Mytilus edulis: one gene and its partners. The protein of the gene in region 2 purifies or fractionates together with the protein of the main gene of each other region. This does not show direct contact. Links are inferred from orthologs where the notes say so. Each region holds a gene or a part of one and is shown on either strand. Other genes may lie near its edges.

Region 1 (8,306 bases), on a different chromosome or scaffold from region 2:
CTTGCTACGGAGGGAAATAATGATCAAATTGACAATAACATACACAAAAAAAATTACTAATTTACATATCAGTTTGACATGTTTGATTCAATAAATAAGGTTAGCGTTTCTGTGAAAAAATCAAACAAATTATTCGATTTCTTAAACAGGTGATCCATTTATTCAAAATGAAAAGAAAAAGATGATTTCAAGCATTCATTTTAATTTTTTTTTGTCATGCAGGTTTGATATAAATGGTTTTTCTGATGAGATAAGTTGATCTCCATATCACACCTATCATGTCCCTAGGGCTTTACATAAATGTTGGTATCTGCTCTTGTGTCGGGTTGTTGTCTCCTTGACACATTCCCAATTTCCATACTCAATTCTAATTTTATTATTTTATTGCATACTTGAAAATATAGATTTTCTATGCTACTGTTGGACTCACGATGACCAAAAGTGACGAGTCCCTAGACTCGCTTCCAAAACTCCTTAGTGAGAAATATGGTAAGGTATGAAAGGGGAAAGGTAAGTAATAGATAATAATAGAGCCGACTGTACAAGTACAAGGGCTGTTTAGCCAGTCAAGGTCGTCGAAAACTTCCATTTGTTGTAGATAATAATAAATGATATGGGGAAACCCCTTTGTTATCTATTATCACATGAAATACTTATGAACTAATGTGGTGTTATAAATAGGGAAATATCCTATTTAAATGAACATAAGTCAAGAGTTATGAATCCTTATAAGGACGTTCTTATCAACTTAGAAATATCACACAACATTTAAATTAACTTTGTTTAGTTTATGATTTTCACTAATTAAGGGTAAAAAGATTAAAATTTAAACAGCAAAATGACCAATAAGATAACATTTACCAAAGTTCAAATTGCCGAAATTTTCAGTAGATTCCTTATTGGATTTCGTGGTTTTTTATGACGACCTTTATCCATGTTTAGTGTGTTTGCCTGTTATCTTGAGAACTATAATAGATATATATAGACGCTAAGCTTGATTATTTTTTTATTTTTTTTTTTGTATTTAAGCGTTTCTGATAAAAGCTTATTTTGATTATCCACTTAAAAACTATCGCATTAAAATTAATCTGAATTTCAATGTGTCATAGCTCAAAGAAAATTCAAAAAGTCTCGTAAAAAGCTAAATTCATTGGAAGGTTTAACATTAGAATAAGTCTTCGAGCCCTTACTGTTGTACATCAAATTTAGAAACTACCTAGCCTATATATTCATAGACACTTCCGGGTCACATACGATCGCCGTTTTTTTTACTTTTCTAAAATTATAAAGAATAGACAAAATGGTATTTAAGAGGCCCCTCATGGGGGGTCCTAGTAATCACATAATCACCATTTTTTTGCCAATATAATCACATAATCATTAAATATTTGCTTATCTTTAGTAATCAAATAATCATAAACTAAAAATACAGTCCTAGGTAATCAAATAATCATGAAATATTTGGCTTAATAATCAAATAATCATTAAAAAAACGGCCAAGTAATCACATAATCAAAAACCCCATGAGGGCCCTCATTTAAAAAATATTAAAGAATAAAGAAACAAATCCCCATTCCAGACCAAGGTCTACAATTTACTTCTGCTGAAATAATTACCAGTATTATTTTCTAGAAATATTTTTCATAAACTGTTGCTTGAATTGTCTCGTACTATTCGAAATATCTATTTTAAGTATAATTATTCTTTTGAATGAACCATAAGATTTGAGGTTTGTAAATTAAAAAAATGACTTCTCTTTGCCATAAATCATGGTTTATATTGAATCTATGCAAAATATTTTGATTTTTTCAATGCAGTTACATCCTTCAAATAAGAACTATAACATATACTGATACATCAGTTTGAATTCGTTTTGTTGTTACTTCTCTTTGTTATAGCCTTTCAGACCACTTTTGGACAAAATATTGTTGTACACATTTATAAAGCCCAAAACAACATCGTGTTTGAGTGTAAATTACTTTTACATATTTGTATATAATTACAATTTATATAAATTGCTTGATAAATAAGGTATTGACAATTCACGTCGAAACTTAGTTTACACCCCAACTCCCCTCCTACCCCAAAGACACGTACCAAAGAGGAAATCCTGGATAATCATATGTCTGTTCTGTGGTCTTATGGAATTTCAACTAAAGATGATCACCTGGATCTTTCTTTACTGTATTGGATACCAAAATTGTTTAAGTGTCATTAAAGACAATTATTGGGTCCTCCAAGTGCTCCAGGAAATTATCAAAGTCAATTGTATCTGTAATCAATGTCAGGCTTTATAGATATTGTGAATCTACCTTTCTAGTTTGCTGACCAGTGTATTATGCCACAGGGTGGTGAAATCTGTCAAGTGTGGTAGCAAGTAAATGATTTGTTAACTACCGTTGGCTAGTATGCTTGCTGTGTGAAAAGAAAGCGGAGTGTTTAAGTATTTCCTGACAGTACATAGCCTCTAAGTATCTCAGGATAAACGGCAGAAGATATCGGGGTAGCAAGTAAGGGCCCTAGAGATGCAATGTATATGCCTACCGGTGTGTGGACATGTCCTAGCACTTATCAATCTTGTCCCAGCTACGGTATGGATAAAAAGTCGGTAAGAATAGTGTCGTAGCTCAATAAGGCAATTCATCTAGGAGATGGTAACTTTCGACAATAAACCTGGATAGAACGGATTCATTAGTTCAGGACAGCAGCCCTTCTAAAAGAAGAAAATCTTGATCACAAACTCCCTGGTCGTCCTGGTTGGAGTACTAGTGTTGGGCATGGAGTTATCTCCGCCATCATGTAAAAACTATATCAGTTACAGATATCACAGAGGCCTTAAGTTCCACTGGAAATGAACAGGATAAGTAAGTACCTATACTAAATGTCCTCTTTGTCATAATTCAAAGTGTATTGACTATGTTGATCTTTCACAACGAATTTATATCAACCGACACAACAGCTGCAGCTCAGTCTGTATCACAACTTGACTTTCGTCTAGAAATTGACAATGGCCTGTAGTTCTTCAGTTTGGTGTCATTTTGTCTCCTGTAAAGGGTTGTCTCATTGACAATCTTCATGCATACCACATCTTATTTTTATGTTTAACGATTGTCGGTTGAGATCAAAACTTTACGACAAAAAGTTGATCTCAGCTTCCCAATTGTGAACTTTCCATTTTTTATGTAGCAATATTCCAGCAGTGCTTGCATATATAGAGTATATATCTCCCAGTGAATACGATATTCTATGGATCGCGTTTCCTGTCATGATTTCCGCGCTTCATACAAAATGTATTTCGGTTAACACTTTTACACCCCCAATAAAGTTACAATAAACAAAGACGTATAAATAACATCTACTATACGGTCAACACTTTTACACCCCCAATGAAGTTACAAAAAACAAGGACGCATAACTCACATTTAATATACGTCCTTGCAAAAAGGAAGCATTCAACTCATAAATACCCAAACATACAGTTTCGACATAATCTAATTGGATTATATAATAAAATTGAGAATGGAAATGTAATGTTATTTTATGGATCTTATTTAACGACAATTACACTTATTTCTGCACCTTTGACTTTGTTTAGTTTTAATTGAATATGTTTACGTTTACAGAGGCAAAATCTGAACTTTACAAAAAGGGGTTAAAGGCCTTTTTTAAACTAAGAAAACCATTTAATGACTCAACAAAAAATTTCAACATTCGTTCATATATTTGACTACAATTCAGCCAATTTTACTGTATGGATCAGAAATATGGGGTGCTGGCGGTTCCTCGAAACTCAAGGATTCTTCTTTTTTTTATAAACTATATAATCATTTTATACTTGAATGTAAAAAGTTGTAAATATGTACTTGGTGTAAACAGAAAGAGCACAAATAATGTTGTCATGGCAGAAGTGGGACATTTACCAATACAATTGTCTATTTTATTAAGCATCCTTAAATATTGGATAACTTTAGAAAAATCTGAAATATTTTACTAAAAGAAGCACTGGCACTATCTAAAAGCCTACATGAAAAAGGTCACACTTCATGGTATAGTTATATTATTAAAGTTTTGGAGCTTCTGGATCTCACTCCCAACAGTTTACTACATAATAATTAATATTGTATTAACAAAATAGTCATGAGAAAACTTAAAGGATTGTATATAAAAGAATGGAAAATAAACTTTTTTAATGATGTATTAATAACCAAAAAAATGAACTTCGTACATTTCGTTGATTCAAAACAAATTTCAATTTTGAACCCTATTTAAACCTGCTAAACTCGAAACAAATTAGGCAGGCATTAACAAAACTAAGAATTGGGGACCATCAACTTGCAATTGAAACAGGGAGGCACAAAAACATCCCAGCTCATGAGCGTATTTGTAAACTGGCTTTGTGAGGAGGAGGTGGAAGATGAGATCCACTTTCTCCTACGATGCACAAAAAAAAAAGGAAACATATAGAATAACATTTATTAAAGACCTTTGTATTTCTTATCCTAATCTAAAGAAATTTAACAATGAAAATATGTTTATATGGCTAATGGGTTGTGAAAATCCAGAAGTTCTAAAACACCTATGTAATTTTATAATCAGTCTCTAGATCTCGGGACTGAGAGGGATAATTTGATAAAAAAAAAATGTAAATGATGCCAAATTACTGACACCAACCAAATTTAAATTTTATGGCACAAATGGTATCCATAAACAGAAAAAATAACATTTTTATATGTTGAATATATATAAATACTGATCTGCGGTTTTAATTTTGCTTTTCTGTTTATTTTCTCTTTTCTATATTTTGTCATTATATATCATTAAGAATTAATGATAATCATTGTAATAAATTGTTTGTAATTATACTGCTTTCTTAGGGCGTCCTTGATTGACTATAAGAATATTGTATTGTGTATTATATTGTTATGTTATTGAACATCGTGTCACACTGGGTATGGTTCCAGATCGTGATATTTCTTTTAGCTTATTTTATACCGACCGGATGTTGATATTTCAACGTTGTGAGACCGAAAATGTCTGTACAGTCGTTTGTTAGCAAAAGAAAGAAGCATTTCATTGGTTTATCAGCACCGTTGGGATATGTTCCTGGTTTAGGAAGAGGGTAGGTCAATGATGTATACCAAGTTGACATCAGACATTCATGAATTAGTCCCAATTTTGTATTTTTCTTTGATGAGGTTCATGTAAATATGACCAACAGCAACATCAACATGACCAAAACTGGGAACAAACCGAAATTATGTATAATGAATATAATCAAAGGTTCATAATACGGTGCATTTCTTACAAGTGGTGGTGTCATCTATGGAATCAGTGTTTTTGGTGGTACTGTTTATAGAAAGAATGATTGATGGCCATGATGGCTTATTGATATTTGGAAATCTGCACCAGTTGAGAAGAGAATCTGTGCCAAATGACATTATGTAGTGTCTAATTTGTCTGTCAATCGATATTAGAACACCTGCCATGCCCCCACCTGAGTCTGCTCTTGTTTTGTATAGTAATAAAAATACTTAACACAAGATTAACTCTTGAGTTACACCTCATAATACCATAAAACTGTGTATTCACAGGGCCGGATCCAGGATTTTGAAAAGGGGGGCAAAGTTTTTTAAAGATCAGGGAGCAGAGCGAGGCGAAAATTTAAAGGACCTTTTAAATTATAAAATAAGTTTAAAATGCACCCTTTAATATGTTTAACGGTTCCTGACGTCGAAAATGTATATTTTACAGGGTTGGACATGTTTTATGCTGTACTAATTCTCCATATCAAGTGTCTATCATAAAATGATAGTGTGGATCAAAAGTTATGTACTGAATCAGGGATGGGGTGGATTACTTTAAAATGTAATTGATTAAATTACAATTACTTTGCTTATAAAATGTAATCGATTACATTACAATTACACCAGTGACCTATTTCAAATGTAATTGATTGCATTAAATTACTTTTCTTTAGGGTAATCATGATTGCTTGTGATTACTTATGATTACATTGTATATTGCAATATTCAAGAATTTCTAATAACTTTTTTTCCTCATGAAAAACCTAATTTTGGTGATTTTTTTTAAAGCCATAATTTATTAATCTTATTCAAAAGAATTTAGACAAGTACAGTGTAATTTGATAACATAGCTATATATAGACAAGTGTCCTTTCTCTATGTAAAAGATATAACTTTGTTTTTTCTACAAATTTTAACCAAAATACTGCCCAATTCACCAAAAAACTGCTTAAATAATGAAAAATCAATTAAGTATAGTTTTATTGTCTGTGAGGACATAATTGACACATCCATAAATGTTTTGACAGGTGTTAATCACTACTTTCATTTTTAGCTCACCTGGCCCGAAGGGCCAAGTGAGCTTTTCCCATCACTTGGCGTCCGTCGTCGTTAACTTTTACAAAAATCTTCTCCTCTGAAACTACTGGGCCAAATTAAACCAAACTTGGCCACAATCATCATTAGGGTATCTTGTTTAAAAAATGTGTGGCTTGACCCGGCCAACCAACCAAGATGGCCGCCATGGCAAAAAATAGAACATAGGGGTAAAATGCAGTTTTTGGCTTATAACTCAAAAACCAAAGCATTTAGAGCAAATCTGACGCAGTAAAATTGTTTATCAGGATCTATCTGCCCTCAAATTTTCAGATGAATCCGACAACCAGTTATTGGGTTGCTGCCCCTGAACTGGTAATTTTAGGTAATTTTTGCTGTTTTTGGCTATTATCTTGAACATTATTATAGATAGAGATAAACTGTAAACAGCAATAATGTTCAGCAAAGTAAGATTTACAAATAAGTCACATGACCAAAATGGTCAGTTGACCCCTTTAGGAGTTATTGACCTTTATAGTCAATTTTTAACCATTTTTCCTAAATCTTAGTAATCTTTTACAAAAATCTTCTCCTCTGAAACTACTGGGCCAAATTAATCCAAACTTGGCCACAATCATCTTTGGGATATCTAGTTTTAAAAATGTGTGGCGTGACCCTGCCAACCAACCAAGATGGCCGCCATGGCTAAAAATAGAACATAGGGGTAAAATGCAGTTTTTGGCTGATAACTCAAAAACCAAAGCATTTAGAGCAAATCTGACTGCGGTAAAAGTGTTTATCAGGTCAAGATCTATCTGTCCTGAAATTTTCAGATGAATCGGACAACCTGTTGTTGGGTTGCTGCCCCTGAATTGGTAATTTTAAGGAAATTTTGCTGTTTTTGGTTATTATCTTGAATATTATTATAGATAGAAATAAATTGTGAACAGCAGTAATGTTCAGCAAAGTAAGATTTACAAATAAGTCAGCATGACCAAAATGGTCAGTTGACCCCGGAAGGAGTTATTGCCCTTTATAGTCAATTTTTAACCATTTTTTCGTAAATCTTAGTAATCTTTTACAAAAATCTTCTCCTCTGAAACTACTGGGCCAAATTAAACTAAACTTGGCCACAGTCATCATTGGGGTAACTTGTTTAAAAAATGTGTGGCGTGACCTGGCCAATCAACCAAAATGGCTGCCACGGCTAATAATAGAACATAGGGGTAAAATGCAGTTTTTGGCTTATAACTCAAAAACCGAAGCATTAAGAGAAAATCTGACAGGGTTTAATTGTTTATCAGGTCAAGATCTATCTGCCCTGATGTTTTCACATGGATCGGATAACCCGTTGTTAGGTTACTGTCCTGAATTGGTAATTTTAAGGAAATTTTGTCGTTTTCTGTTATTATCTTGAATATTATTATAGATAGAGATAAACTGTATACATCAATAACGTTCAGCAAAATAAGATCTACAAATAGGTTTACATGACCAAAATAGTCAATTGACCCCTTAAGGAGTTATTGCCCTTTATAGTTAATTTTTAACATTTTTCATAAATTTTTGTTAATTTTTAGAAAATATTTTCCACTGTAATTACTGGGCCAAGTTCATTATAGATAGAGATAATTGTAGCAACAAGAATGTTCAGTAAAGTAAGATCTACAAACACATCACTATCACCAAAACACAATTATGTCATGAATTTATCCGTGTCCATTGTTTAATATGCACAAGACCAAGGTGAGCGACACAGGCTCTTTAGAGCCTCTAGTTTTTTTTACAAACAACAGGTGAGCTTGGGTACTAAAGTTTTATTGTCTTAATTGCAATATCAATAATGTTATAAGTGGTGAATTGTCATAATTTGTTTGAAAATTTTGAATACATGTACATATATATCATAATATTTATGGAAAACAAAATTTATTAAAATTGTCAAAAAATGAAATATGGTTTTAAATT
Region 2 (8,044 bases):
GTTGCCACGACACGATAAATTACATTGAAAAAAAATACAATTTATTTTTTTACGCCAAATGTGATGCTATCCAAAATTTCTGGGGAGAACACTGGTTTGAAAACTGTAATCAGCAGCTCAGAACCCTTTGAATTATAATACAAGCCTAGGGGTTAATTGATTATAATTGCTCACAAAATTGGTGGTGGCTAGAGAAACAAAAACAAATTTTGAAAATAACAGGTATCACTTGAAGATGGCAGGATCTTTGGTTGGTGACACCATCATTAAACAGGTCATGGAGATTCCTGATGACTTCGCTGTCAAAGAGTATCACATGTCTCACCACAAGTGAAATAAAACTACTAATGAATGTTTTCATAGCCTCCGATTAAAAAAAATCTTTTTATAAGGTTTCCACATCATCTTCTGTGAAAGTTGCATAAAAATTAACCGGTGAGTCCCGGACCATAATATTAGTCTATCCTAAATACTGTTATTTGGCTTAAATGGCTCTCCATACTTTTAGTAATCAACATTATGACATTAAATTTAAAGAACATAAACACATTTTCCTTCTATCAATAAAATACAAAAAAAATTTGTTTTTACCTGCAAGAGACATCTGAAGGATCAACCCATAGTGTCAGTTCACAAAACAACTTGAGATCTTTGTATTCGAGACCAGATTTGTGTACAGCACTCTCCATTACTGGGTCATTTGGTTCTTCAGGGTTGATTCTTATACATCTATAAGCTTGTCCTTTAGCTGGAAAATCTTGATACCAGTGGTTCTTAAATTTCTCTACCAGCACTGCTGAAAGACTACTTGAGAAGGATTCCATTTTCTCATTTGGGATGCTACCGCACTGCCGTACTAAACGTGATAAAAACACCACTGCTGCTGCAATTTCGTCCCTCATTTTTAATGTTCTTCACTTTAACACTTAAAAAAATCTTCATCAAGTTGTAACTCCGCTTTTTCCACAACAGAATCTGTCAGATCCTGTCAACACTTTCTAAGCCTCGGTTTCGGTTTGTTATTGTCTTCTTTGTTCGCCTGGAAGTCATTAAAACCTTATTATAAAATTTATCAAAACAACATAGTCTGATGGATTGTTTACAGTTAATGATATGTACAACAAATTGAAAAGATCTTAATCTGTATTAACTGAGGAAGAAATAGGAATTTATCATAAATTATTATTTCCTTATTTTCGATGATTCACGAACAACACCAACGCGAAGTTCACAACATTCCAGAACAATCTTTGAAATATTTTGATAACTAAAAACACTAGTCTGAATATTGGTTTCAACTTAATACTATGGATGGCTGTATAAACATATCAACATACCCAATAAAGTACTCTTGAAAATAATATCTTGTTTACTGTAAATACTTGACCAGATCCACCATTAAAGCGCAATGCCAGAATGCGGTCATCCAATCAACAACTGTTTCCGTCGACGAGTTGCTACGAAATACATAACGTCATTTCGCGGGAAATATAACACGTGTCAATGTTTACAAATAAGGGGATCATAACATAGGATTTTGGGTATAGTCGGTATAGACGTGCGGCTGCTGCTGAGATTAATACAGTCTTGTGGAAATGTCAACCCATAAATATATATAAATTTATATCAAAACCCATTCATATTCAAATAAAGAAAAAGATATATGTCTCTGTGAGTGACCGTGATAGCATGATCTATACATCTTCAATGACCAATAAGCAGTTCATTACTCTACTGATCTAACTGACGTCAATCGATCTAAAGGATAAGACAACATAAATTATATACAGATATCTAACTGGAAGATGAAATTATTGCCGGGCCCATTGACAATTCACTTGCGCGATATGATTTAACGTAGCGGTTGCTTCAAAAAAAGAATCCATGCATGCATTATTCCAGCGCTGGTCTGTGCTCACGGCCAGTATAGCCTACCTTCATAATTAAAGGAAGAAGCCACTCTGACTTCCACAATATTTTTAAAAAAAATATGCTACATCTTTTCTAAGCAACTGCATTTTAGATAAGTTGAGCTGGTTAAGTCGGATCATGCTATATCACAATATTCCTAATACTACTTGTGTAAAATACGGAGCAGTCTCAACCGACCAGCGCCTACATTCCCACTCATGCCTTCATTATAACATTTTGTTTTATTTCTAAGCTCTATTTATGGGCATTATGCTTTCTGGTCTGTGCTGCGTCCGTTCCGACGTCCGTCCGTTCGTTCGTTCGTTCATCTGTCCCGCTTCAGGTTAAAGTTTTTGGTCGAGGTAGTTTTTGATGAATTTGAAGTCGAATCCACTTGAAACTTAGTACACATGTTCCCTATGATATGATCTTTGTAATTTTAATGCCAAATTAGAATGTTTGCCTCAATTTTACGGTCAATGGCAGATCTGTCAGATTTCAATTACGAGGGACACCAATCTAATCAATATATAGATCTCTGACTTATGTTATACTCATATCGCAATTTGTCCTGACTTTTGTATAATTTTGTGGTCGTTTTATTACAAAGGCGGACGCAGTATTTTAAGTTAATTAGCAAAAAGTGACATTTTTGTTTACTGGGGTAAAATTATCGAAATATTCTTTAAGTTAAGCTGAGGACAACCCATACTTTGCAAATTTTACGGGGGAGGTGCACGCCCGCCACCTTCCCTCCTCGCCTGAATCCACACAATAAGTTCATTATCCTTGTTCAGTTTCAAGCCTTGAAATGGTATGCTGAACTGACTTTGGGGAATTCAATCAAAAGATTTACTGAAAAAGGTACAGATATACAGTAGTATCAGCTTAGCGAACTTTTAGTGACCACAAATACTATTTTGGTTATATTGTCTTGCTTAAAAAATGATATGGTGTGTCAATTAATGTCACAAAACCATTAAACGCACACGAAGAAAACAAACGAAAAGGAATAGCGCTTTTAAATTAGTACCGTCTGTTCTTATTCATAAAGTTTACATGGAGAGAGAAAAAAACTCACCTCTCTGCAAGTTCAAGACCTGTCCCTGGTTTGAGATGAGTCCGTGAAAACCTTTTCTAGATATCGAATAAGCATCATATATAAACAAAAACGTATGATTGCCAATGAGACAACTCTCTATACAGGAGACCATATGACACAGAAATTAGCAGCTATAGGTCACCGTACGTTTTTCAACAATGGGCAAAGCCCATACCCCGAAATCACAAATGTAAAACAATTCAAACGATAAAACTAATGGCCCAATTAATGTACAAAAATGAAGGAAAAACAAATACGTTACACATGCAGCAACAAACGACAACCATTGAATTACAGGCTCCTGATTTGGGATAGGCACATACACACATTTCCATTTCCATTTGACTATATTGAATTCCTCTTGCAACACTTTATGTGTCTGAGAGTTTACAATAATGAATTTGAACTTAACTTTGACACATAATGTGGCGGGGTTAAACATTTTATCGAAATCCCAACCCTCCCCGTACCTGGGGCAGTGGTGTAACAGAACAACAAGAACGCACTATAAATGTTGACATGCATAGCTGCCGAGTATTAAATAATAAATAGTTAGCAAAAGAAAAATCCTGGGAAAAGGATAACTAATATATTATGTCACAGAAAAATTACTGTAATAACTTGCCCTACAATCTCGATGTAAAGTAATGTTAAAATAGGGTTTCGTTTTCTTGCGTTTACCCTCTGAGTCCTTATTTGTGCACAGAAATCAGTAAATTGTGACATTGCTTTTAATTCTGGAACTATATGTATAGCACAATTTCAAGTTGCCCCAATACATTTATGGAACTCCATAATTATTTTAGGACATCTGCATATTTCGAATTATAGAATAATAGAGGTTTTGTAATATTTACCCTGAAATGCGGTGATGGAGGTTCTGAAATATTTCAGGAGGTATAATGGATTGTTAAGGTTTTGAAATAAAGCAATTTTAAACTATTATTTGTGAACGTTCTGAAATCGTCTATTTAAACATCGAAAATATCAAACAGTTTTACGAAATTAAAACCAAGCGTTTCACCAAATTTTAACCTTCGAATTACATCCTGGTTTTACCGATTTTTATTAAGCAATTGAGAATCGTTCGTGTAGTTAAAATATTTTAAAAATTGTATGATAATCTCTTTTGTAATCTCTTTCACATTTGATCAGAGTTTTATGGGGGAAACCTGTACATAAAAATATTTTTGAGGTCTGATAAAGGGTTTGCATAGTCACGCTATATAAATTCTTCGTCTTTCCTTAGTAGAAGCCTATTTTTCATTCAAGTATCTTGAAATTTTTTAAATCGTATATACAACTTGCTAATTTTAGAAAAGTGGACCTCTGTAAGAAAACTTTGTCAATATTACCAAGGATTAATATATTCTTATTATACAAATCTTTTCTATCATATATAATCTTATACGAATTTTATTCTTATCCTCATTTATATGATATGTGTAATTAAAATCAATGTAATTTACAATATACAGTGTTGTAATTGCGGTCATTTGGGGCCCGTAATCGGAAATCATGGCTGAACTCTTTTAAAATTTATTTTACAACCTTTTAGTTCCTCATGAATTTCATGTTCATGCATTATGAATATAATATATTGGGTATTGATAGCAATGTATTTTTTTTTAACCGATAGCAATGTCTCTATCCAAGGTTCCTTTAGAAACAATAAACTTTCTACTTTTTGTACAATATGATCACTCCCTTAACTTCAAGTTGGTCTAGGGCGATTTGACATGTGGGGCGAGTTGGCTTCTTTCATGTACGTTGCTTTTTATTTTTAAGTTCCCTTTAGGTACTTAGTGATACTACAATGATTCTCTGTAGGGATAATCTGGCCACAACCTCAACATTGGGAAAACGAATTTTAGACGTTCCCTCACTTTTGGATGTCGGTTTGCATGTCCCTCTAAGCTTTGATGTTGTATTTTTAATGTAAGAAGTAGTAAGCAAAGTTCTCATAAGTCGAAGGACAAATAAACACTATGACAAAAGAGAAAAAAAGGACGTATAAAAAAAACACTCTCCCAAACATGAATTATTATATGAAAACCACAAAATTATACACATCATGATAAATGTTGCTCTTAATGAGGGCAGGAATGACCCTTAACTGTTAGGCATATAATTGGTTGAAATCCTATCGTGATTTGTCAAAATATCCCCATCATAATTCGTCAGAGGTCTCAAATATTTAACCGTTACCGTAATTGTTGGAAAGAATTTAATGTGATTTGTCAAAATCAGTCAATTTCTTTTTAATCATTGTAAAAAATGTACTTTTTATCGTCATGCACCAAAATTTAATGATAACATCAGGTGGCAAGATTTTTTACCCTTATTTGTCATGAAAGTATCCCCAATACGAAGCCCATTATTTGAAAAAAGAAGAAATATTTTGTAAATATATTAGACTATCAACTTCCTTTAACAATTCCCTATGTATAATTTTCTGGTGTTGGACATTTCTTTTAGCATGTTAAGGATATAATTATATCACAATTTTAAAATGAAAACTATGGATACTCTTTATTTGGAATTATATCCAGAAAAGATCTTCATATTAAGGCTAAGCTATTATGACCTATTGGTCAGATTCAAATTTACACACAAAAGATGATTAGGGTTATACATTGTAATTTGGATGAAGGGCTAATTTATCTACTCTTTTGTTAAATTACAGATCATGGATCAAGACACAGCTCAAACCTTGTTCAAAGAAGGTGCTATTTTTGTATTCCTTGATGTACCAGTTGGAACAGAATTTGGTATTGATTATAATTCATGGAATGTCGGACCAGAGTTCAGAGGAGTTAAAATGATTCCTGCAGGTCTTCATTTTGTTTATTATAGGTATGTTACTTACATTGATTTAAATTATTGTCACTTATATTGAAAAAAGTACTAGATTAAATACTGTGGATTCATTAATTTTCTTGGGTGCCGATTTTCGTGGTTTGAAGAAAACGTGCATAGTCTCAGATATTTATTTTCGTGGTTTTGGCAAAGTCTGCATTCATTCCTTTAGAAAATATGTAATCCATTGAATATTTATGGTTCCCCTGGTCACTCAGGAAATCCTCGAAAATTGGTATCCAACAAATATTAATGAAACCACAGTATAATTTGTTCTCAGAGTTTAGACAAAACAATTATCAAAGTCCACACTCCACAGACACATGGTTCCTGTATGTTGAGAATGACAAAATTACATGTTATGGTCTTTTGTATTTTTTAATTCAGCAGTCTCTGTAGATACTAAGTAATTTTCAACACAAGATGAATTCAGGTTAATTTCTTCACTAAAAGAAATCAAGCGTTGACTTCATCATTGCTATGCTAGAGGGTCTAAATGGGGTAACTTTTTCTGTATCAAAAATTTTAAGGCATATTTTTCTTTTCTTTGAAAATAATGCTTATTGTTTTAGATTATCAGGAATATGATTTTACTAGTAATCTGTAATTATATGATTTTTTCCCCTGTTATTCGTTCATTTTTAAAATCCAAGGGTGGTGCAAATATTTCATGGGTGGAAGATCAATAGCCTTAAATAGCCTTGTCACTTTTATTATTCTGAATGATATAACTTCACAAAAGACAGCCCTTGAAATATGGCAATAGGGCCAAACATTCAATTTATCATTATACATGTTATACATTACGTTTTTAAGATATTTATTAAGATTCATTTACATTTCAGCGCCTGTAATAAGGAAGGTCAAACAGCACCTAGAACTGGATTTTTCTATAACTTCAGAAAGAAAGAAATTGTTGTTCGCAAATGGAACAGATTGTTAGAAGGTAACCTTATTTTTATCAAATTGTCAAAGTCAAAGTGGCAGAATTAATACAGTTTAATAAGGTTTAATTTCTAAAGAATATTCAGTGACTTGGCTGGTTTGTCCTGGTACACTTGTTCAATTTAGGCAGGTTCCTGGTTTTATTAGGCGTTGGTTCAGATAGGTTTCCCTGTATTAAAATTAAATGATGTCTGAAGGAAGTACCATCAATCTAGATATTTTAAAATGTGCCTGATGTTTGTTTTGTTCATTAATGGTAAAATTGCTAAATTTCTCATTGAGAAAAATTCCCTCAGATAGTAATGGTCTTGGAAATCACTTAAAATAGCGAAATTAACTTTTTTTTTTCTTGAGCAAATCACTCACAATAGCTGATAGGAAATTTGCTCAGTTGTACAGTACCTAATAAAGTTTTAGGTGTAAAAGTAAAAGTGTCTGTGAGGTCACTCTGATTTAATGTTAAAGTCCTCAACATTTTTTATGATTAAAAACACAGGTGCAAGGATATAGGTTTAATATCTATACTATTAAACGAGAAGACCTCATTTTGTGTGTCACTTCTCTTCCTTCCACAATAAATTAATCATCATGCCTCTGTGTCCTATAGGTACCATGCATAGTCGCATTTGTCATCCATTCTTATGATTTAATAATATTCAGATTCAGTTATTTTGGGAGAAATACGGAAAAAAAGGCGTCCTGATATTGTTTCCATCATCAGACTGACTTTTAGAAATAGATAAGACTTCTGTTTTTAAATTTGCATAAGTAATTGGAGAGAGGACATTATTTTCGCGTTTATCTTCATGTATACTATGATTATGCTACTATAATATATAGAGACTCTCTGTATTCTGTATACTGTTTTCTTTGAAATGTTTACTAATTAAGGGGTCATATCAGTTGCATATAAAAATAAGTAAAACATGTGGAAAAAATTTATTGTTGAAAGTGAAGTAGTGATTTGGCCAAAATGAAAGTAGGGTACTGTAGAAATTAGCCTTTGTCATTTATACAAGATACAAATCCTACCATTGGCATGTTAATAGGGTTCTCAAAAGAAAAAGCACAGATGGATTGTCCTAGAAGCATATTTTATTAGAATAATAATGGTCTATAAGCAGTTACATTTATTTCATGTTTGAAGCGGTGTAAAAAAAATAAATTAAATTTTACTTATATATACCAAAAAATTGCATTGTATCAAAGGGGAAGAATAATTGTGGT
Region 3 (7,762 bases), on a different chromosome or scaffold from region 2:
GAGAAGAACAACATTAACTTAGGTTTTTTTCAATATATATTTGATAACAAGAAAGTTGAAAGTTGGATGTGACATTTTTACCAAAATAAGATTCTAGATTTTTCTTCTAATACATTTTGAAGAAGCAAATTATGTTCATTTCAAAAATATATCATGTTTTGAATTTCCCACCATTGCTCATTTAGAAGGAAATAAAGTTCACTCAAATTATCTTCTTATTTCATTTAATAGAAAGAGGGATCAATTTCGTTCAGCAATGGTATTAGCCATTAGTGATTAGTATATTCTGTTAATGGGAAACTAAAAGCAGTTTGATCCCATGGAAATATGACACTTTTTGAATTATAATTATTATGCAAAAATATATATAAAAGAATGTTAGTTTTACTATCAGCCTGACAAAATATTTCTTTACTGAAATTTTCTTTTTTTAACGACATTCAAATTTAAATAAGAATATACCACTATCCGTCCAATATACTATAAAGTGCTTTTTTTGCATTTCTTTTAATTGTCTGTCACAAATAGCAATAACCTTGATAACAACAACATATCTTACAGTTTGAATGTGTATATGTCTGTTCATGCATATATCTATACATGTAATCCAAAAAATTAGAATGAGGGTAATATGATATCATTTTGTGATTTGAAAATTTTCTTCAAAGTAAAGGATAATATTTGCTTGGTACACATGTACTAACAAAGTTTGCTTCCTCCAATGTTAAGATTGATATTCAATAAATATAAACAAATTGACTTTATAGAAATAAGGAGACGTCATATAATTGCCAATGAGACAACTATCCAACAGTCAAAATGGTGGTGATATAAACAACTTTAGCTCACCATATATATCTGACCTTCAAAAATGAGCAAAACTTATACCTTATAATCAGTTATTAAAAGCCTTGACACGACACATCTGAACAATTCAAACTTGAAACCCAACTGCCGGATTTATGACCAAACAATATTTATTTGGATTTTTGGGTTGCTGTCTTGTTGTGATCAATTTGAATTAGTACTCTCATGTGATACTGATATGCAAGGATGGTGCTAAAAATCAATTTTAATATATGGAAAAGTTAGCTTTGAAAAAGACAATTACATAATGATGGTAAACAAGGTTATTGGTTGAACAAATGATGCTACAAAGTATTGAATATAGAATTTTGTTATGATTTGCTATTAGTATTAAACACTATTTCTTAAAAAGAGAAAGGAATAATATGTGAAAAAAATAGGATTAAATTTTATACACTGTTTAATATGACTTTTTGTGTCTTTTTTACTTCAGTATTTATTTCTGTATTATTTATTATGTTACCTATAAGTTAATGTTGGTTTTATGTAAAGCCAATTAAAAGATTTAACCTACTAATGCATTTATAATTGGCCATGATACACTAATTGTTATAATGTCCTATTAAAATACCATGAATATTAGATGTGAGGTATATATGTCAATGAGAACCCTACACACAAAATTTGGCATTTAGATATCGTTTTATGGTTTTCAACATAATACACAAGATGGTGCAAATGTATACAATATGTCATGCTGTACAGGTTAGAAAAGTTGTGAATGAATTGGCCTTCTTTTACTTCAAGTGTCCCTATACTTTAGAGTTAAGGTTCATTCTTGGTTATGGTTAGGTATGGGGCTGTTTAAGGTTAGGGTTAGGTATGGGGCTGTTTTAGGTTAGGGTTAGGTTTTAGGGTTAGTGCTAGTGTTAGGTTTATGTATGGGTTAGGGTAAGGTTGGGGGTTAAGAATAGTTTGGTAAAGCTCTTTATGGGTTGGGACCTTTAAAGTAAAAAAAGGCCAATATATTTAACAAAAAAACATCATTGGTCTTTCACCAACACTTAATTCTCTAAAAATAAAAACACCATATAATCAGCTATGAAATGCCCTGTAGTATTGAATAGAAATTAGATCAAAGCAATTACCTGTTAAAAACATTCTGTTATGTCAAATGAAGAATCTAAGACCACAAATGATTTAGACATTTTGAACTTATTATAGATTCAGATTCAGATTCAATATTTTTTTAGTCTCAACACTTGTAGTACATATACATTGAATAAATACACTAATGAAGTTTTACTAGTTGATAAATAATGTTTTTAACATCATACAAAGTTACATACTTAATCCTTGAGTCTCTATTAAAATAAATAAAAAATAATCACCTCATCCCAAAATTTTTAAAAAGCGGATTTAGAATCTGGTATGAATGTTTTACACTGTGTAATATGACTTTCAATTTTGCCTAAATACAGGAGAGAGGATAATCATGAACAAGGAAACAAGATAACATGTATGTAAACAAAAACAAAAAGATTAACAGACAACCTACGTATATATATTAAAAAAACACTACACAGTAAGCTGTACAATGAGAAACATTATATAAAAAAGAAGATTTAAGTATGATTGCCAATGAGGCAACTCTCCACAAGAGACCAAATGACACAGAAATTAACAACTTCAGGTCATTATATGGCTTTCAACAATGAATAAAGCCCATGCCACATAGTCAGCTATAAAAGGCCCAGAAATGACAATGTAAAATAATTCAAAGCAGAAAACTAACAGCCTAATTTATGTACAAAAATTTACAAAAACACATATGTTACACTTAAACAAACGACAACCAATGAATTACATGCTCCTGACTTTGGACAGGCACATTCATACAGAATGTGGCGGGGTTAAACATGTTAGCGGGATCCCAAACCTGTTACCAAAACTGGATGGTGAACTAAGGTCATCTGCAACCATAATTATATTAACAGTTCCTAATCCATGAGCAGTTTATGTCTGATAAAAAATCACATAAGGTGATGTCATGCCAGGAAATGAGGATGGTTTTGTGTATACAAAAAGTTGATCATATTTGTGATTCAAATGTTCCATATTGTCCAACCATATTATGATGGTGTCTAAAAAATTTTAAGAGATGAACTTGATTGTACCATGAATAACCCTCTGTGAGACAGCTTCCATAGATGAATGGACCCTCTATTCAGGAAATCATGAAAGGTAAAACTATAGCCCATGAATACAATAACTTTCTGTTTTCATATGCAGCTGTTGTTGGAATATTGCTACATAAAGGTTAAAATATAAAAAAAGAAGATGTGGTATGATTGCCAATGAGACAACTATCCACAAGAGACCAAAATGACACAGACATTAACAACTATAGGTCACTGTACGGCCTTCAACAATGAGCAAAGCCCCTACGGCATAGTCAGCTATAAAAGGCCCAAATAAGACCATGTAAAACAATTCAAACGAGAAAACTAACGGCCTTATTTATATAAAAAAATAAATGAAAAACAAATATGTTTAACGTTAATATTTAATACAATAAAATTCTAGTTTTTTTTCTGCTTTTCTCAGACTGTTTATGACATCTTTCCACTGATTCCATTGGAGTATACTGTTTGATACTTCAGTTTGGGAGAAATTATATGTTTATCAGTTGGTCAGTTGGTTTTGGCTTTGATTGGTACTTTGTATCTTTTGTCTTTATGCTAGTAATTTTGCGCTTTGTATCAATCTAATTAGTCAAGCCATTTCCAACTGATTTTTACTGTTTTTTCTTATGATTTGATGTTATATTTTTATACAAGGTTAGAGAGATGGTTGAACACTCACGAACATTAAATTAACACTGTCACATTCTGTATGTGCCTGTTAGAAGTTGTGAGCCTGTATTTCAGTGGTTGTTGTTGGTTGCTATCTAGTATAGAGAGTAACCATTGAACTTTAAGGTGGATATGGTTTTTTGTCTGAGTCAAAAATAAATTAAAGCAATTTTTCAAAAATATATTTTGGTACTTGAAAAATCTGGATTCAGATTTTTTTGTTGTTTTCTGCTTGACCACAACATTTATTTTCATCAACATTGGGGATCAGAATATTTTTTTAGGAAAAAAAATATGTTTTGGTTATTGTTAAAGACCCATATATATGTGACTTTTAATCATTGGAGAATGTTGAATAAATTCAGATGTGGATCCATGAATTTGACAAAGGAGGGGGAGGATGGGCAAAGAGCTCCAGGGAAACATTACCAGTGGGTCTTGTAAAAAGTCTTTTCAGGAAGATTTGTTCTGGTTGATCATCTATTTTTACTGTTTTATCTGACCCCCAAACACAGAAATTCAAAAGATTGTCCCTAAACAACAGCAAAAGAATCCCCCCTCAAATAAAAAATTACCAAACCATAACGTAGCAATTTGTGTTATAAATATGAATACTTTTTTTTAAAACACAAGTTTTATAATTCAATGAAAAAAAAAAAGAAAAGAGAACAGCAAAGAACCAATCATGAGAATATTAGAAACAATAGAGATGAAAGAAAAATAGAAAACTCGGAAATATACACATAGTTGTACCGCATTCGAGATGACACTTAAAAATTCCAATATGTCAGCTCCCATTAATTTTCACATGTAAAAAAAATATTTTGGTTCGCAGTACGTCTGTGTTTATTTTCAACCATGGAAAGAAAACAGAAGATGTGTATAGAGTTTGAAAATGACATCTTATCAAATAATGAGCCACAAAACGTCGAAGAATTAAAAGATTTTGACGGTAATCTAGATTTGCAATGACAGTAATATTTGTTTATTTTCTGTATTAACTATAATTTGTATGAAATCATGCAGTTTTATTCAATACAACAGGGTTCAAGATTAATCATTACTTTTTGAGAGAGAGAAAAAAATGTATCACTCAACCAAGATCAACGGCTTTTCCACAAGTTGACACAAGAACTGATCGACAGCCTGGATGTGGATCTGCCTGAGTCTCCCTCCTTGGTATCCTTCAATGGGGATCTTTCAACACTCAATTTCTAGTCTTTTTAGCTAAATCTGGAAGATTTTTGTAAATGGGAACTATCCCCATTTAATGAATGGCTATTATTTATTTTGAATTTATTGAACCATAAAACTAATTTTTGACTCTTCACATTGAATAATCCGCGAAGCGGATTATGTAAAATGTGAAGAGTCAAAAATTAGTTTTATGGTTCATTAAAATCAAAATAAATTATTGCCATTCATTATAAATAAATTTTCATCAAAAATAACGCTCAAAGAACTTTTTATATTATTTATATTATTTATAATATGAGGCAGGCATTACCTGTAAATGGGGACGAAGTCTGTATGAATTATTTTTTTGTAACTCAATTATTTGTCCAAAAAAAAGACACGGAAATACAGTAACGTTTCCGATTTTGGTTCTGTTGTTAGGGATTTTAGTTGTGACGTTATTTAAATTATGACGTCATATGCAATGTAAACAAGAAACGCTATCATTAGGTAACGTTTTTTCATATCAAGGAATTATTAAAAATGAAATAAGTATTGCTCGTTCCTTCCTATTTTATACTAGACTGATAAATATATATTTTACTCAAAGTTTCATACAAACGAGACCGGAAAAAGGAAGTATATTGTACATTTCTGCGCAGGTCCGGGATTTCAAAACATGACATAAAAAAAATTGAACGATTTTGAGTTCATTAGTACAATGAAAAATTCGGGAAATTTTCCCGTATTTTTTTTTTTATTGAATTTTCTACTGTTATTGGGGACTTCGTCCCCATATTAACAATAACAACGTAAGCACATGTTGGCGTATGAATACACAACGTCAGAGTGGGCGTGTTGCCATAAAAATTGACAACATTGAAAATAAAACTAATAATTTTAACCAATCAGAAGACAGTAAATACACCAAATTTATTTATTAAAAGATAAAATAACCCAAATCATGTGTAACCGGAGAGCACGAATTTCATTACAAAATTGCTTGTCTCCACCGGGACCTCTGTGTTACAAGGCAGCGCGTAAACCGACTGAGCTAAAGAAGTACTTCATTAGCTAAACCGCTTACGGCTGACTAAGTATCTACTAAGTTTTCTAAGGGAAGCAATCCCGTCACACTCCCCCACCTCAAGAGTCATTATACTCTATAATGATGATATCTTCATCTTTTATATATTTATATTTTAACCTGGCTAGGTAATTCTTCTAACCGTGGGTTGTTATTGTTTGGCGCCAATGTAACCGGAGAGCACAAATTTCATTACAAAATTGCTTGTCTCCACCGGGACCTCTGTGTTACAAGGCAGCGCGTAAACCGACTGAGCTAAAGAAGTACTTCATTAGCTCAACCGCTTACGTCTGACTAAGTATCTACTAAGTTCTCAAAGGGAAGCAATCCCGTCACACATGAAATGGGATATCAATTTACAATTTACAATTTTAATATGACAATGTAAGAGGGTGAGAAGCAGTAATTCTAGTTTAAAGTCTTTGGTTTAAACTGGATATACTGCTTCTCCACTAAAAACAGGACATCAATGAGTTAGAGACTGATCTGCTCTTAGTCAGAATACTGTGTCTGGGTAGTCATGGTAAATGTAGTGTAACATATCTTTCTGTGGATACTGATATCTGACAGAGTTTTAAAATGTAATTGTTATGTCTTGTGAACAATTTGTTTAATTTATAATGCTTGAGTTCAACTTTCTAGAAATGTAGCCTTATGATTTCTTCTTTATGTTTTATTCTTACTTGTCATGCATGAACAAATGATCTGAAAAAATAGCGTTTGAATTAATTGTTTCTGGTATCAAATCTTCTTCAGGTATAACTGATTCTGATCGAGACATTTTAAGATATTTCCAACAATCCAGATTTGACAGTGTGTTAAACAGCGAAGTTTCAAGAAAAGTTCTTAGTGTGAATACAAACAACAGAGAAAGAATAGATCTATTGTTACAGGATAATATCCCACAGTTTATAGAAAATGGTGATAGAATACTGAGGTAAGTATTAAAAAAAAGAGGATGTGGTATGATTGACAATGAGACACCTACAAGAGACCAGATGACACAGAAATTAACAACTATATGTCACCGTACAGCCTTCAACAATGAGCAAAACCCATATCACATAGTCTGCTATAAAAGGCCATGAAATGACAATGTAAAACAATTCAAAAGAGAAAACTAAAGCCTAATTTATATACAAAAATTTAGTGAAAAACAAATATGCAACACATAAACAAACAACAACCACTGAATTACAGGCTCCTGACTTGGGACCGGCATATACATACAGAATGTGGTGGGGTTAAACATGTAAGCAAGTTCCCAACCCTTCCCCTAACCTGGGACAGTGGTGTAACAGTATACCATAAGAAGGAACTATAAAACTCAGTTGAAAAAAGGCTTAACATATCAGATGGTTACAAATACAAGTACTACAGAGTGGATGTGGCTGGGTTCTTGTATATCCCAACAACAAAAAGGCAGATATAATATTACGCATAGTTACTGACAGCTAGTTCAAAGCCACTTACAACTAATAAAAAAAAATCATGCCTCTAAGACTAAACTATCAATCAATGTTCATTCTTGTGCAGGTCAAGATATGAGGCAATTGTTTGATTAACACATACATGTACAGCATTTGATATTAGAAATTTTGGAAGTGAGGTTGTAAAGTAGGACCTATAACAAGTCCTAATTTAAACAGGGTTTGGTTAGTTTCATTGTACTAGCATGTCTTTGTTATCTTTTCTGAAAAAGTATATGTGGTTTGTTCATGTTGTTCTTTATTTGGATTATGATATCCACAGTGAGCTGACCATTATGACAAACAGGAAAATGAATTCTGTCAAAGTGTAAAATCTAGTTTGTATTTGATCATCTGTTTTATATACA
Region 4 (8,291 bases), on a different chromosome or scaffold from region 2:
GCAAGTTCGGAACGACATGCATCATTCGAAGCCTTACAGTGTACTCCCAAGATTTCTTTAATAAATTTTATATGCAACTTTTCGTAGGCATCACTGTCTTTAAATGTCGAAATAATCCCCCAGATTTCACTACAATAAAGGAGAATAGGGGCTACTAAGGAATCAAAAAGTTTTTCCAGAAGTTTACAAGGGTTATCTAATCCTATTGTTTTCTTTATTTTAAAATACGCTTTCCTAGCTTTTTCCATAAGCGAAGTGATGGCGACATTAAAACTGCCATTATATCTAATATTTATACCCAAGTAACAATAAGTATTAACTGTCTCTAAGGATTTGCCATTATAATAAAATTCGTTCAGAAAAGACTTTCCGTTTGAATTAAAAACCATTACTTTTGATTTCTCTGTATTGACTTGCAATTTCCATGAAGAACAATAATTACTTAATGTATTGAGACAATTTTGCAAACCCTCTTTGCTATCAGATAATAATACAATATCATCTGCATACAAAAGTGCATTTAATGAAACATCACCAACTACAACTGGATCTGCATTGATATTTTCCAAGTCTTTAAGTATGTCGTTTATAAAAAAATTAAAGAGAAGAGGACTCAATACATCTCCTTGTTTAACACCACAGTTTGATTCAAACGATGGGCTAAGACCATTAGAAAATTTAATTCTACTTGTAATTTATAAGAATATAACTTATAAATATTAATATTTTTGCAAAAATTGATTATTTTTGATTGTTTTTTTATTTTTTGTAAATTGCCATTTTCAGGGGAGATAACTCTTAAATAGTGCATTTTCTGAAGGATTCTACATGGAATTTTCCTATTTTGTATTTTAGTCGGAAAAACTCACGGTGACCATATCTTTTCTTTTGAAATTCTCAAGGCATTGTCTGAAAGCTATCTTTTCCTCAAGTATTTAACAATTCTATCATGTTGTTTAGTTTCTGACCACAAAATGTTTTTTTCTCTGTATAATCCATACAAAATGTGTCATTTTGTCGCGTCCTGTAGCTTGAAAAAATGCGCGGTGACCTATCATTTTTATTATATATTTCAACATATATCAATAGATGCTACGTTTTGGCAAGGTATGAACAAATTCTATCATTTTTAATTTAGACTCCTATACCACCTTTTATGTTCTGCCATTGATTGATTATTGTTGCAATATGGGCGTTTTTCAATAAAAACGTACTTTCTTGTCCTAGCCACTTTAAAAAACGTGTGTTTGATCTTTGCAAGTAATTTTTTGTGCAGTGAGTACATTGAATTAGATTAAACATTTTAAAGCAAAGAAACATTTTATTTTTTAGAGGGATTGATAAGATATTGATTCCTGAATGGTCCAAAACAACCAAAATGGCATGTCCCTAGACCGCCTGTTCAACATTCGTACTCAAAAATGTCGTAAAAAAGTGTAGAAATAAATATTATTTTTACTTAATATAAGTTCTTTGATAATTCAAAAGTATGTTTCTAGCCAACATATTTTAATAAACAGCTTTTAACATGGGATTTTTAATTTCAGAAGGTGTGTCCCTAACAAAATGTCCACTACGAAACGAAGTCATTAAAATTTGCTAATAAACAGTTTTATAAAATCAGTGTAATTTTTGTTTGCAAGAGATATAAACATTAGGGTCTTACAAAAAAAGTGATGCTTTTATAACGGCAATTAAATTGTTGGTAAGAAAAATTGAGCACATTAAATGCACCAAAGTGATACCGTATTTTTGTAAATGTCCACTACGAAACGGGTCAAATCTCCTTCAGTATCTGGTTTTAAAATTATGAAAAAAATATCATTGTACAGCTTAATACATGCTTTGGTGAATACAGTCAATCTTTATACTATCGCAATTTATATATATATTTTATTCTGAAGAACCTATGTTGATACAATGGTATACAGATATACATAGACATACACAATAATATTATAAAACATGGTGAGGTTACAGCAAATAGAGAAGAAAAGAATGCATAGTTTGGAGGCTTCCATTTTATCAGAGAGAATTCATTTTTGTATTAATGGTTCTAATGAGCTTACACAGCTTTTTAAGTTTTGATTGTTTTGAAAAATTCATAACTGCTTTAAACTTTAGAGTATTAATGTTAGTACAGAAATTTTCATCTATACATTCTTTCCTTTCTTCAGAAAAATATGTACATTCTAAAATGTAATGAAATTCATCTCCAATTTCATTACTATTACATAAGTTACAAGTTCGATTTTCTCTGGGTATGTTTTTCCATCTACCAGATTCTATTGGGAGCTTGTGATTTACGGTTCTAAATCTACAAAGAGTGAAAACGTCTTTGTCGTCTAGCTTGTTGATATAGTTTTCGAAAGCAAAACTTTCTTTATAAATGCAATAGTTAACCGTTTTAGGACTGTTATTAATATTTGCACTCCAAGTTTGGATAAATTGATCTTGGAGAATAGTTCTAATCGTATGTTTTAGCCAATCATAATTGTAAATAAGTTGATAACTCCATATGTAGGAGAGACCACATTCATTAAAAATGTTGGAAATATAATTTAGCCATGAAGATTTTAAAGTAGAATCATTTTCTAATTTCAGCAATAATTTAAACACAATGAAACATAGTTTTTCTTGTTTGCCTTTTAATATTCTTATCCAATATGATATCATTCTGATTTTTATATCAATATTAAGAGGGTATCGACCGAGTTCTCCATATATAACATAGTTAGGTGTAGTAGGTTTTAAATGGAGAAGGAGTTTACAAAATTTTAAATGAACTTTTTCTAGGATGTCAATATTTTCATATCCCCATATTTCACAGCCATATAAAAGAATTGGTTTAACAAGTTTGTCAAAAAGATCAAGTTGACAGCTAATAGAAAGATTATGTTTTCTTCCTTTTCGTAAGACATCGTACATTGCGTTAGTAGCCTTTTCTGCCAAATGAAGTTTGCCCGTTTTAAAACTCCCAGTTCTTGAAAAATATACCCCTAAATAATTAAAGTCTTTAACAATATCGATATTTGAGTTATTGTATTTAAACATTAAATTCTTTTGTAATCTTCCCTTTGTAAAAACTACTATCTTTGTTTTTTCAACGTTCACCTTGAGTCCCCATATGTTACAATACGTATTAAATTTATCTAAAGAGGCCTGGAGATCAGTCGCCGTTTCGGCAAGAATAATCGGGTCATCCGCATAAAGTATAGCAAATAAATTTAGATAAATATCTAACTGTGTTTCAATGTCTTTGCTTACTGTTTGTAGACCAATCACATTTTCTTGGCATAGAAAATCTTCTAAGTCATTTAAAAAAAGTGAAAATAAAAAGGGTGATAGAATTTCACCCTGTCGAACACCATTTTCGCATGGGAAAAATCAGATTTTTTACCATTATATGATAAACATGATTTGATATTTTGATACATATTAAAGATAATGTTGTACATTTTGCCACTTATTTTACTTAAAAGCATTTTATACCACAGAGCATCCCGTCGAACAGTGTCAAATGCCTTCTCAAAATCAACAAATGCACAAAAGAGCTTCTTTTTCTTATTTCTTAGAATTTCAAAAAATGAATGCAAAACGAACATGCAATCAGTTGTCGAATAACCTTCACGAAAACCAAATTGATTTTCCTTCATCAACAATGTTTCTTCTGAAAATTTTATTAGTCTTGAATTTAAGATTGAAGCAATATAGGGATTGTGGGGGAAAATAAAACATGCGAATACGTCCCCTACGAAACGGTCCCCTACGAAACAAGTATGGGAGAAAAACGTTTCGTAGTGGACACTACCACTACCATGCAGTCTTTTTTAATCTTTTTTCAATTAAATTCGTGCAAAACAAATAACAAGGGTTAGTTTCATGTAATTTTTATTATGTTTTTATTAATATATAATAGGGTTGATGTCAACTACGAAACTTTTTGTCCACTACGAAACGGTTTTGTCCACTACGAAACGGTTTTGTCCACTACGAAACGCATCAAAATGTCCACTACGTAACATGAGTTGTACCTTCATATGTGAAGTACTGTCTAGTCTTTATCGATAAAAATGGTTTTCCAATTCAGAAAAAAAATAGATTTTTCTAGTTTTTAAAGTAAACAAACTGGAATGTCTATAGGAAACATTTAAAATTGCAAAAAAATATGTGTGTTAAGAAGAATTTTCGTAGGGGACACAAGTCCCCTTCGAAACAGTACACAAATTATGAAAAATGATATCATTTTAAAGAATATTTAAGATTGCAATTTTTGTTTACAAACAGGTCTATAATAGAGGTATTCAAAATAACTCTTGAAATTATTTTTTAGACAAGTTGATTTTCCACTTTTTTTTAGGTCTGAAAGATACGCTTTTATTGAAAAACACCCATATATGGGGAAGTTGTTATGAAAGAAAGGAAACATTTACATATTCAGGCATACCCGTAGCCAGGGGGGGTTCGAGGGGTTCGGACGAACCCCCCCTTGAAAACTAATAAGCACTGTTAAAGTCGATGTTCTGTTCGAATTGTGACTGTTAAACTCGAGTTTGTGAGTCAAACGAACCCCCCTTTGGAAAATCCTGGCTACGGGCCTGTTCAGGAGTAACTGGATACACTTGTATCTTTTAGATACAATTGTATATTGTGTATAATATATCATTATAATACTTATGTACTTAAAAAAAATATGTTATTAGGATTTTGAGGACTCCGAAGAAGAATTAATAGGTTTAACTAATGGGAATCATCCTCTTGAAATAAAGTTTATTTGTTCATTTAAAATATGGTAAGATATCATATGGTGGAGTGATTATCATCACTGTTTTTGAAGAGAGCACAGGTAATGTTCTACAATTGAAAATATGGTTACTCTATAAAGGTAAGAGAGATTATAGCAGGTGCTCCTACCAACGGAGGAAGCTACAGAACATACATGGAGTCAGACATATTCTTCAAGTTCCTCTCCCTTAGATAAAAGATCCCCAAACATGGAAAATCGTGAAGAAAACGTCTGTAAATTGTATGTATCTATCTATATAATCTCACCACACTAATTACACTAAGTTGGTCCGCAAATAGTCGAAAAATATCATAATGACCTTAGAGCTACGGTTCCGCAGCTAACCTTCCTATAGAGTATATATACACTCAAAAATGAGTCCACTCCTTGACGGGAAGATAGATATATAGGATAGAAACAAGTGCCTGTGGGAACAACCCCTCACAATGCAATGACTATCCTTATTATGAGGGATACATGTTATCATTTTTATATATATCATCATGGTTTTTTTTACACGAATGATAAAACACAGGGGCTTGTTACAATACACCTTATCGCTATTCCCGGCTGACCCTGCCGCTTGAACTTTTGACGCATACAACAATCACTTTTTCATTGTGGCGTCAGCTATTCTGTTTTATGACGTCATAATTTTACGGGAACCTGTGTGATATCCAGTAATGGCGGACAAATAGCGATAAGGTGTATACACCTAATCGCTATAATAAATAATAATAAATAAGCTTTATTTAGAGTCGGCATGGTACAATGTATATAAAACATAGACAAACATAAGCTCTAATGAGCTTTTAACCGACATATGAGACATTATATAACAGTACAACATTTATAACAATACAATACATAATATAGTACACATGCAATAAATATCACAGCACAAAAATGAAGCACTAAAAGCAGAATATAAGCATAAGCTAGGTATTAAGGCTAAAAGCATATAAGTGTAAACTAGGCATAAAAGCTTGTAAAAATGCATAGCATAAAAATTGAAAAAAATGGGATTTGATCTAGATGGTAAATAAATTTGCATAATATATAAACTAAAAGTCTGCACAAACTGTGCACTTACAGTCATTTCCATTCCATGACTTTAAAATATTTTTGAACTGACTAAAATTAGCAATTTTTCTAAAATCATCAGGTAGATCATTCCATAGAACAGCAGCTGTGTATTTAAAAGAGTTCTTACCATAGGTTGTTGTTCGGACCCTAGGTATATATCTACAATATTAGAATATCTAAAATTATATTTACAGTCTTTCAATACAACTAAATCATGTAAGCATGGTGGTGACAATTTATATAAAATTTTAAAACATTCAATAGCCATGTTACGCATACGTCTTATTTTCAGTGATGGAACCTTTGCTCGTAAAAGTAGTTCATCATATGAACTAACATAGTCTTCATATATAAATCATAAAGCCCTTTCCTGAATTTTTTCCAATTTGGTGGTGTTATTTTTGTTGCAAAAATGCCATGCCAAAGGACAAAAATTAAAATTAGATAAAATAAATGTGTGGAAAATTGTCAGTTTATTCAATTAAGTAAGGTAGCTGCCAATGCGCTTTAAAACATTCAGTTGTTGGGATGCTTTACGACAAATATTTTTAATATGGCATGTATGGTGATTAAAATTAAGTTGATAGTCAATATCAATACCCAAAAGTTTGACAATCTCATCACAGGATATTTATTCCATTCCGGATAAGTTCTAAAATTACACAACTTTTTCATCCAGTCGATGATATCTGGGACCCTGTTTAAACAATTCACCGTGCATGATACTTTTTAATGAGACCTGTTTAAACTACCGTAAATACTTCAAACAAAATATTTTTTTAATTCAATTTTAATTTTGAAAAAAAGTGGATCATACTCTATCAAAGTTTCTTGATGATCACTTTCTAAAGTTTTTCCTCCCTCAGCTCACTGCTGATGACCTCCATTTTCGGCCTGCGTGACCTAAACAGGAAGTTGTATAAATGACTGTTTTTCCAGGAATAGACTAAATAGCAATAAGGTGTATTGCCGGGTTTACTATCCATACGAATCCCTAAAAAAACACAAGGAAGGAAGCTAATTTGCGACAATGCTTCAAGTTATTGTTGTAATTTTTTTCTAAGACTTTCACTTACTTTGTGACCTAAATAAATATGTTCCCACTTGAATTATCTCTCCAATGACATATATTTGTTACCTTACGTAACATCTATAACTATTGTAATCCATAAAACAAACTCGACATTTTTGAAATAGAACGAATCGAGGCCCTACATTTGAAAATGAAAGTACTTAAGCGACACCTATCAGAAAATATATTTTCGGCACTCTCGGGTGTTTACCATAAACATGATAAATGTTATGCTTTTCTGAAGTCTGGTATTTTTTAAAATTTCAATCATGTAAAAATTGACAGGAATTATTAGGAACATACTGTCTTTTGTCCTCATATTCCAGTTAACTCCCAAGAGAGCCGAAAATATATTTTCCTGTAGGTGTCGCTTTTCAAGTCTAATTGACAATGGGGCCTATATTTGGACCCAAAATAAAGGCAAGAAAATCACTGCTTTAAAAGAGGGACGAAAGATACCAGAGGGACAGTCAAAGCCATAAATCTTTAAAGCTTGTCTTGGAACTTATTGATATTTATCTGTCATTACTGGATATCACACAGGTTCCCATAAAATTTTGACGTCATAAAACAAAATATTAGACGCCACAATGGAAAAGTGTTATTGTATGACTTCAAAAGTTCAAGCGGCTAGGTCAGCCAGGAATAACAATCAGGTTTATAGAAGGAATCCATGACAAATCACCCCACTCCTAATGACCCCACTTTTTCACAAACTCCCCCCCCCCCCCCCCCCCCCCCCCCCCCCCCCCCCCACTCTTGTTTACCAACTCACCCTTCTTATGAAAAAGGCTAAAATCCCATTGCAAATAGGTTGGATAACATGCTCCACTTATGACAAGGGTTAACATCCTGCTGACATAAGGTTCTTCCAACTCGCCCCACTCTTGACAAAAAGATAAACCACAATGATTTAATAGTGCCAACTCGACAGTCAGGGGTACTACTTGTACAAGTTATTTTTATTTACTTTAAGAAGTAAATAAAAAATGTTTGAATAATCTCCCCTTCATTTCTCAATTTTTTTTTTAGTATAAGTAAATTGTTCTTACAATCCAACAAACTCCTCAAGTTTTGAGATGTAAAATCATGCCTTTTTATAATTTTTCACAGGTATGCTCATTTTTTTCTATTAAAGTTCAATGTTTCATCTCATTAGTTCAACAAAGAAACTGATTGCGCAAAAAAAGTATTTACGCAAGGCCTTCAAAAATTGCTCCTTTGGGACTTGTAAATGAGCAGTGTTCTGAAGATAACAGACAAATTTATGGGATTTTCATTATTCATGGATTGCACTGAAATGATTAGTAAGTCATCAGCAAAGAGCAGATAATTTAAAATTCTATT

The links.
Region 1: the proteins of protein AAR2 homolog (region 2) and pre-mRNA-processing factor 6-like purify together in Homo sapiens (affinity purification with mass spectrometry; 3 studies listed by BioGRID and IntAct, with this or other methods). This does not show direct contact. The link is inferred for Mytilus edulis from reciprocal best matches to the Homo sapiens genes AAR2 and PRPF6.
Region 3: the proteins of protein AAR2 homolog (region 2) and tetratricopeptide repeat protein 27-like purify together in Homo sapiens (affinity purification with mass spectrometry; 3 studies listed by BioGRID and IntAct, with this or other methods). This does not show direct contact. The link is inferred for Mytilus edulis from reciprocal best matches to the Homo sapiens genes AAR2 and TTC27.
Region 4: the proteins of protein AAR2 homolog (region 2) and zinc finger HIT domain-containing protein 2-like purify together in Homo sapiens (affinity purification with mass spectrometry; 3 studies listed by BioGRID and IntAct, counting the BioPlex papers as one, with this or other methods). This does not show direct contact. The link is inferred for Mytilus edulis from reciprocal best matches to the Homo sapiens genes AAR2 and ZNHIT2.

Annotation. Positions count from the first base shown.
Region 1 is NC_092355.1:77,114,801-77,123,106, reverse strand, and holds the start of pre-mRNA-processing factor 6-like, read left to right. Parts: upstream 1-4,971; 5' UTR 4,972-5,030; coding exon 5,031-5,119; intron 5,120-8,306. UniProt on the Homo sapiens protein: Involved in pre-mRNA splicing as component of the U4/U6-U5 tri-snRNP complex, one of the building blocks of the spliceosome.
Region 2 is NC_092348.1:58,116,683-58,124,726, reverse strand, and holds the start of protein AAR2 homolog, read left to right. Parts: upstream 1-4,814; 5' UTR 4,815-4,829; coding exon 4,830-4,907; exon of another isoform or gene 4,908-4,951; intron 4,952-5,699; coding exon 5,700-5,869; intron 5,870-6,717; coding exon 6,718-6,818; intron 6,819-8,044. Other genes in the region: maternal B9.10 protein-like, read right to left, coding at 592-902. UniProt on the Homo sapiens protein: Component of the U5 snRNP complex that is required for spliceosome assembly and for pre-mRNA splicing.
Region 3 is NC_092346.1:91,098,251-91,106,012, forward strand, and holds the start of tetratricopeptide repeat protein 27-like, read left to right. Parts: upstream 1-4,427; 5' UTR 4,428-4,520; coding exon 4,521-4,614; intron 4,615-6,681; coding exon 6,682-6,862; intron 6,863-7,762.
Region 4 is NC_092345.1:107,504,259-107,512,549, forward strand, and holds the start of zinc finger HIT domain-containing protein 2-like, read left to right. Parts: upstream 1-4,956; 5' UTR 4,957-4,994; coding exon 4,995-5,026; intron 5,027-8,291. UniProt on the Homo sapiens protein: May act as a bridging factor mediating the interaction between the R2TP/Prefoldin-like (R2TP/PFDL) complex and U5 small nuclear ribonucleoprotein (U5 snRNP).